Linked DNA regions of Macaca mulatta. The protein of the gene in region 2 interacts with the protein of the main gene of each other region in a pairwise test. Links are inferred from orthologs where the notes say so. Each region holds a gene or a part of one and is shown on either strand. Other genes may lie near its edges.

Region 1 (3,194 bases), on a different chromosome or scaffold from region 2:
ATCTGGGAGGTGGAGGCTGCAGTGAGCCCAGATTGCATCACTGCACTCCAGCCTGGGTGACAGAGTGAGACTCCGTCTCAAAAAAAAAAAAAGTATAATTATTCAATCAAAAAACTGCTGTATTAATTTAGGGAAATGATATTCTCATAAGTCAAATTTTCATCATGTAATTTTAAGCTCCATTCCTTTCCATATACAGAAAACTACCCGTGGGGAAGAAACTGGTGAAATGGGATCCCTCCTCTACCAAATTCTGCCTTCTAGAGCTAGGTAGGGAATTTTGCTTCTCTCCAAAGTTGAAGTTTCGTTAAGTTCTTGGAACCCAAAGTGTGAAAATTTTACTAAGTAAAATAATTTAACTCTGTGTGTATACAAAAAAATTAGCCGGGCGTGGTGGTGGGCACCTGTAGTCCCAGCTACTCAGGAGGCTGAGGCAGGAGAATAGCTTGAACCTGGGAGGCAGAGCTTGCAATGAGCTGAGATCATGCCACTGCACTCCAGCCTGGGCAGCAGAGTGAGACTCCGTCTCAAAATAAAAGGCTAAGTAATGTGGACACAACATGATATTAGGCTTTATTTGAATTTAAAATCTTGATTCCATCCAGGGACATTTTTTACCCAAGCACCTCAGAGACTGGCTTAGGGTTTTTCTTGAGAAGACTGTACAAGGCTTCTAATCATACGCAAACCCTCCACAGCCCACGGCTCCAACCCACAGCACCTCCTGCAGTCCTGGAGGGAAAAGGGATAGTAACATGAAGTGTCTGAAGATCTATTTCACCTCTTTTCCTTGTGAATCGTGACATTTTAAATGCATTTCTTGACAGGATTCTATTTTGAAAGAAGGATGCTCAATCTGTACCTTTTATGCTTGTTTCTTCTCCATCAATAATATGTCAGTCAACTGCTTGTCGGAGACACTTAGCTGCTGACAAGTCCTCATAACCTGACTAAGGTAAACTGCCAAGAGATGCTTGCACTGGAATATAAAACACACACACCTATTAGAAATAGGCAGGGCCGAGGCTGGCCAGTCTAACCAAGATTTCTCATTACCATCTTATTTGGCAGGAAAAGACTAGAGCACACAGATTACAGGGTCTCTAACTGATTGTCTAAAAACTGGACAGGCCGGGCATGGTGGCTCATGCCTGTCATCCCAGCACTTTGGGAGGCCGAGGCATGTGGATCACTTGAGGTCAGGAGTTCAAGACCAGCTGGGCTGATGTGGCAAAACCCCATCTCCACTAAAAATACAAAAATTAGCTGGGCATGGTGGTGCACGCCTGTAATTCCAGATACTCAGGAGGCTGAGGCATGAGAATCGCTTGAACCCAGGAGGTAGAGGCTGCAGTGAGCTGAGATCACGCCACTGCACTATAGCCTGGGCGACAGAGCCAGACTCCATCTCAAAAAATAAATAAATAAAAACTGCAGATAAAGATAATGAGACAGGTGTATTCTCTTTAGAAATCAGAGTGGACAAAGACAGACTTACTTTGCCTGCTGCTTTGGAAAACGGCTTAGATCCATCAGGCACAAGGTATGTAACCCATGGTGAAAACCAAGACTAGCTGCGCTCCTCACTTTAGTCCTAAGTGATATTTCTTCCTTGCCTTCAGAAAGCTGTCACAGCAATGGCTAACATTCCTTGAGGCACTATGCTGTGAAGTGCTTTCCACAGATTACCTCACTGAAATCTGACAGCTCCCTAGGAAGACAGGTATTGTACCCAGATGCTCATCAGAGTCTCTAGGCTACTCTCTTAGCTACTGTGTTATACTTCTGGGGTTGGGGGGCGGGGAGTAGTGGCGAAACTCTTGCATATATTGGCCTGTACACGCTTCTGGGGAGATGATTATGTTGCAGCTGATGTCAGAGAACACAGCTTTATGTTGCAGCTGATGTCAGAGAACACAGCTTTAGATCCTGAAGGGGCCCTGGTTCAATCCTGTCTCTTGCAGTTGAGATAAACTTCCGGCACATCAGTTATGAATGTGGTCTCTTGTACAATGGTATACCCAACTTGCCAGCCAGGTCCCAAGATGTTTAAGAAGTTAACAGTGTAAAAGAAGGGAAGAATGGAGTGGACACCATTATTTGCTTCTTTGGCAAGACTTAAAAAATAGCTGCCTGCTTTCAGGAAGGTGGCGTTTTTCCCTTTGGAATAAGGTGTGTATGAGTATGTCCTGTTTCTGCTTCATGATCTGGACTCTGATGAAATTGGCAAAGGCTTAAAGGAATAGGTGAAGGTACTCATGCCCCATGTGAAGGTCAAGTGTGGTGTCAGGCTGTCTTACAGGTAGTGCAAAGATATACGACATGGCTGAAGGTAGGATATGCAAAGTTGCCAACATCGAATTTTAGTTCATACTTTTATGGGGCCATCTAATTCCCCTTTTTTTACTTCTCAAAGCTTCACTCATGATCTTTTAAATAAAAATTCAGGAAATTGATGTAGTTCTAAAAATGACATTGCATTTTGAGAGGCTAAACCCCTAAGAGATGACTAACTGAAGTCAAGGACAAAAAGCTACCATTTGTTTCAACATGTAGTAAGATTCCCATTTTGTAAAATAGTTAAACCACAAAGTAAGGCCAATTTCTCTCTACATTCAACTACAGTGGGAAGAGCCTTCCCCGTCCTCACCAGGATGCTGTCACTCTTCCGTAGCACTGAGAAGGCAAATGCAGGACATGAACAGTAATGACAAGAAGCCAGACACGTGTATGTTTTACCAGAACTTCCAAGCACCTACAAAGAAAGGATAGATGGGATCAGACCTCAGATGATGTGCTCGAAAAACCACCTCTTTCCCTTTTTATCTATGTAGACTCAGAGCTGCTCTGCAAATTGCACTGAGAAGAACTGCAGTTATGTTTTACATGAAAGACGAAACAACTTCTCTTCCTTCAGCGTGCAGACTCTCCCTTCCTCACCTCAGTGCTTACCTTTAGGACTTCATATAAAGGAATTGAAAAGTTTCAGATTAGTTCAACCAACCACATAGACCATTCTCTTCCGACGCCTAGTGGTTCATGGGGCCCACTCTATGGGCAGACTGTAAGAAGGAAGTGGAGGGGCAATCTCTCATCTACATTTCATTGTGGGGGTTCTTAACCTTTGGTATTTCACAGCAGGTGTGTAAATTTCTAAAGCTTCCTACATACCTAAAGAGAGAGTAAAAACAGGC
Region 2 (3,828 bases):
TTTTGAGACGGAGTCTCATCTCCATCACCCAGGCTGGAATGCAGTGGCTCGATCTCAGCTCACTGCAACCTCTGCCTCCTGGGTTCAAGCATTCTCCTGTCTCAGCCTCCCAAGTAGCTGGGATTACAGGTGCCAGCCACCACGCCTGGCTAAGTTTTGTATTTTTAGTAGAGACGGGGTTTCACCATGTTGGCTGGGCTGGTCTCCAACTCCTGACCTCAGGTGATCCACCTGTCTCGGCCCCTGAAAACACACACACGTGCCAGGACATGTGTGCAAGAATGTTCACAGCAGTAAATAAGGCAATCTAATGAAGAAATCAGGGTATAGTCACCCATGGAATTATATGCAATACGGAAAAAGGAATGAACTAAAAAAATGTAGCTGAATCTTAGTAACAACGTTGAGTGCAAAAAGGAAGTCTCAGAAGATTATGTTTATCATGAAACTTTTTTTTTTTTTTTTTTTTTTGGGAGTCTCGCTTTGTCGCCCAGGCTGGAGTGTAATGGCACAATCTTGGCTCACTGCAACCTCCGCCTCCTGGGTTCAAGCGATTCTCCTGCCTAAGCCTCCCGAGTAGCTAGGATTACAGGCACCTGCCACCACACCCAGCTGATTTTTATTGTATTTTTAGTTGATACAGGGTTTCATCATGTTGGGCAGGCTGGTCTCCCAACTCCTGACCTCTGGTAACCTGCCTGCCTCAGCCTCCCTAAGTGCTGGGATTACAGGCGTGAGCCACCACGCCCGGCCTGAAGCTCTTTTTATAAAGTTTAAAGCAACAAAACTAAACAATATATTGATTGGGTACAATAGATACAAGATAATGCTATACTTTTAAAAGAGAAAAAGCACTTTACATTGTTTAGGTCTTTGGATCTGCATATGTCCCTGAGGTAAGTAGCCATGGGCAACTGAAACACAGAGAGGTGGTCACCCACCAAAGCTCAGGGCTGGCCTCCAGAGCTTGAACCCTTGCCTGAGCTGGGGTCACCAGCCTGGGTGGGCCATGGAGCAATCATCATTTCTCCATCTGATCGGAAAGTCACCCACCACTCTGTTCTGGGGCCCAGCCCGCCTGGATCCAGGCAGGCTCGGAGGCCGTGTTCTCCTGGACCTGGTGCATCTGGCTGCAGCCAGCACTGGGCAGGAAAATACCGCTGGAGCAGTGCCAGGTGCAGGACGTCCCCACTATCTGCCTCCTCCTGGGTCTGGAGGGCCACCATGAGCCCACAGTCCCGGCCAGGCCCAAGCCGGTGGCTGAAGTGGGCAGCTGTGTCTAGAAGTAAGGCAATGAGGTAGGCGGCTTCCTGGGGCTCTGGGTCTTCCGCTAGGTACTCTTCTAGGCCATCGAGCAGCAGAAGGGAGGGGGCTGGCCCCGGGGCTTCATGGGCAGAGCACAGGAGCCGGAAAAGCTCTCGGGTTGAGGGTGGGTACTGGAAGCGGATCTTCTAGAAGGAGAAACAGAAGGAAAGGGCCGGATTCAGCACAAGAAGCCAGACTGCTTGCAAGAGAACCCTGCCTCCTTGCATACTTTCCTTGGTTCCAGGATGAACCAGCTCAGAGTGGTTAAATATTCTTGTATTCGTCCCTTTTTCCAGCACTCATCACTGCCGAGTATTAGTTGAGGGCAAGTCATTTTTGCTTGTTTTTGGCCAAATCTCTAGGGCAGTTTTTCCACGGAAAACCGTCCCCCAGCATTGCATTGTCGGTCTGACCTCATCCTTGACACCAACAGGAGCCAACTCTGGTCCTGAATGGACCCAAGCTTGGCCCCGCCCCTTGATGGGCCTGACTTCACCCTCTGGGCACCGCCTCTTGCTAACACCGCCCATCATTGGATGGGCTCTCACTTCAATCTTAATTAAGCTCCGCGTGGTGCCACCCCTCACTGCGCCTGCCTGACTCCGCCCCATCGTGGCTGCCCTGGCCCGCCCTTCCACCGTCCCCTCCATGGGCTTGTCTACCTGTCACTCAGTAGTCCCGGATCTACTCCACCATTGGCTAGAACGCCTCCACTCCCACCGCACAGTTACCTGGAGTCGCATTGGGTCTAGAGTCGTTCCGGTCCCGCGGGGCAGGCTTTGTAGAGGCCTCCGTGTCAGGAAGAGGACTGGGCCTTGGCCCTCCCCCGCCGCCTCTAGGGCCGCAGCAAATAGCAGCGCTGTTTTTCCAGACCCTGGTGCGCCGAGAAGCAGCAAAGGCGGTCCGGCGGAAGCCGTGTTCTCCTCCCCGGACCAGGCCGCACCGTCCCTGGTCAGCACCCGCCTCAGCGTCTCCGCCATTCGCCGCGTAGCTCTGTCCAATTGGTGGCTCTTTCCCAGTCTTAGTCCCGCCCAAGTCGAGGCCGCTTCGGTACAGTTCACTTAGTTTCTCTATTGGTTTAGGAATCTGTCCATCAAAACTCGATTCCTCTGGGGAATGAGCGAAGGGTTAGAACCTATGCGGAGGAAAGGGTGCATTCGAGGGAAATAGGGAAATAAGGCCCTTCCTTAAGGGAGGCTGCTGGGGGAACCAGCACGAATACTGTTATTGTCAGCTAATGAGACAAATATAAGGATTAAGAATTGGAGGAGCAGACCAGAATGAGTGACATATTCTTTAAAGTCGCCTAGCCTCAGTTTGCCCTCCTGTAAAATGGGGTTTATGATATCTCAGAGGAGTATTGTGATCGGCATGTATTTGTGTGTGGTTTTGCTGATGTCATCCAATGACAACTGAGAATTGAAGAGGGGGATGAGCTGTGTGCTTGTCTTTCTGTGCACCTGAGTATGGGCAGGAGTGTGTGTCTGGGGACACAGGCTCAGGGACACAGCCGTCCCCGAAAGTCTGTGAGATGAAGGCTCTCAACTTCCTCACTGGCTAAGGGGTTCTGTGGGGCCTTCCTTGTGGTGCGGGGGGAGGGCAGGACCGCAGGACAAAGAAGGGAGCGGGAGAGACAAAGAGACAGGCGCTGAAACACTGAAGGAGACATACAGCAGGGACAGTGTTTGTCTTGTTCACTTCTGTTCTCCAGTACCCACAATAGCACCTGGCACATTTGTAGGTTCTCAAATACAGGCTCGTTAAGACAATGAAGGAAGGGAAGTGGGATTGATGAGAAACAGGGAGAAAGGGAGGAACAAAGTGAATGATCGTGATCCCTGGCTGGATCTTCTCACCCAGACTTCGTCCCAGAGCTGCCACTCACGCCTGTGTTGCCCTGGCAACCTTGTCTCCTGGTAACTCCAAAGTGGTGCCGTTGCCTGGAGACCCAGGGGCAGGGAGAAAGTGAGATTTCCTGGGCTTTCTCTCTCCCTCTGGGACCAGAAAACAGCTCCACGACATCCCCCAACACACCCACTCACACAGCTGGGCACCCTCACACCCCTCTACACACACACACACCCACCACGGCATCTCTGAATATATTCTATTTTCAGAATCTCCATCATGCACATGCTCCAACCTTGCCCTATCCTGACACAAAGCATCCCATACAAACTCTGTCCCACATTCATCCCCCACACCCTTTCTCTTGCAAAACACGTAACTATGACATTGCCACTACACACGCAGACACACACAGTGAAGCACACCGATACACTGCGCTGTCAAACACCCTACCTCAGTCCCCATCCCCCAGCAGATACACAACCCATGATTCACCTCACATTTCAACACTCCAGATGCACAAACAGGCCTGGTATGGTGGCTTATGTCTGTAGTCCCAGTGCTTTGGGAGGCCAAGGCAGGAGGATTGCTTGAGGCCAAGAGTTCAAGACCAGCCTGGGCAATGTAGTGAGACCCCATCTCTACAAAATACTTAAAAATTAGCCAGGTGCTAAT

Evidence for each region.
Region 1: the proteins of SWSAP1 (region 2) and ZSWIM7 interact in binary tests that used the Homo sapiens proteins (3 or more experiments, as listed by UniProt). The link is inferred for Macaca mulatta from reciprocal best matches to the Homo sapiens genes SWSAP1 and ZSWIM7.

What each region holds. Positions count from the first base shown.
Region 1 is NC_133421.1:18,147,425-18,150,618, reverse strand, and holds the end of ZSWIM7 (zinc finger SWIM domain-containing protein 7), read right to left. Parts: intron 2,756-3,194; coding exon 2,651-2,755; intron 2,027-2,650; exon of another isoform or gene 1,927-2,026; intron 1,895-1,926; exon of another isoform or gene 1,760-1,894; intron 980-1,759; coding exon 866-979; 3' UTR 863-865; exon of another isoform or gene 862-862; intron 733-861; 3' UTR 549-732; downstream 1-548. UniProt on the Homo sapiens protein: Involved in early stages of the homologous recombination repair (HRR) pathway of double-stranded DNA breaks arising during DNA replication or induced by DNA-damaging agents. Required for meiotic progression, hence for fertility.
Region 2 is NC_133424.1:12,109,217-12,113,044, reverse strand, and holds SWSAP1 (ATPase SWSAP1), read right to left. Parts: upstream 2,301-3,828; 5' UTR 2,286-2,300; coding exon 2,037-2,285; intron 1,452-2,036; coding exon 948-1,451; 3' UTR 600-947; downstream 1-599. UniProt on the Homo sapiens protein: ATPase which is preferentially stimulated by single-stranded DNA and is involved in homologous recombination repair (HRR). Has a DNA-binding activity which is independent of its ATPase activity.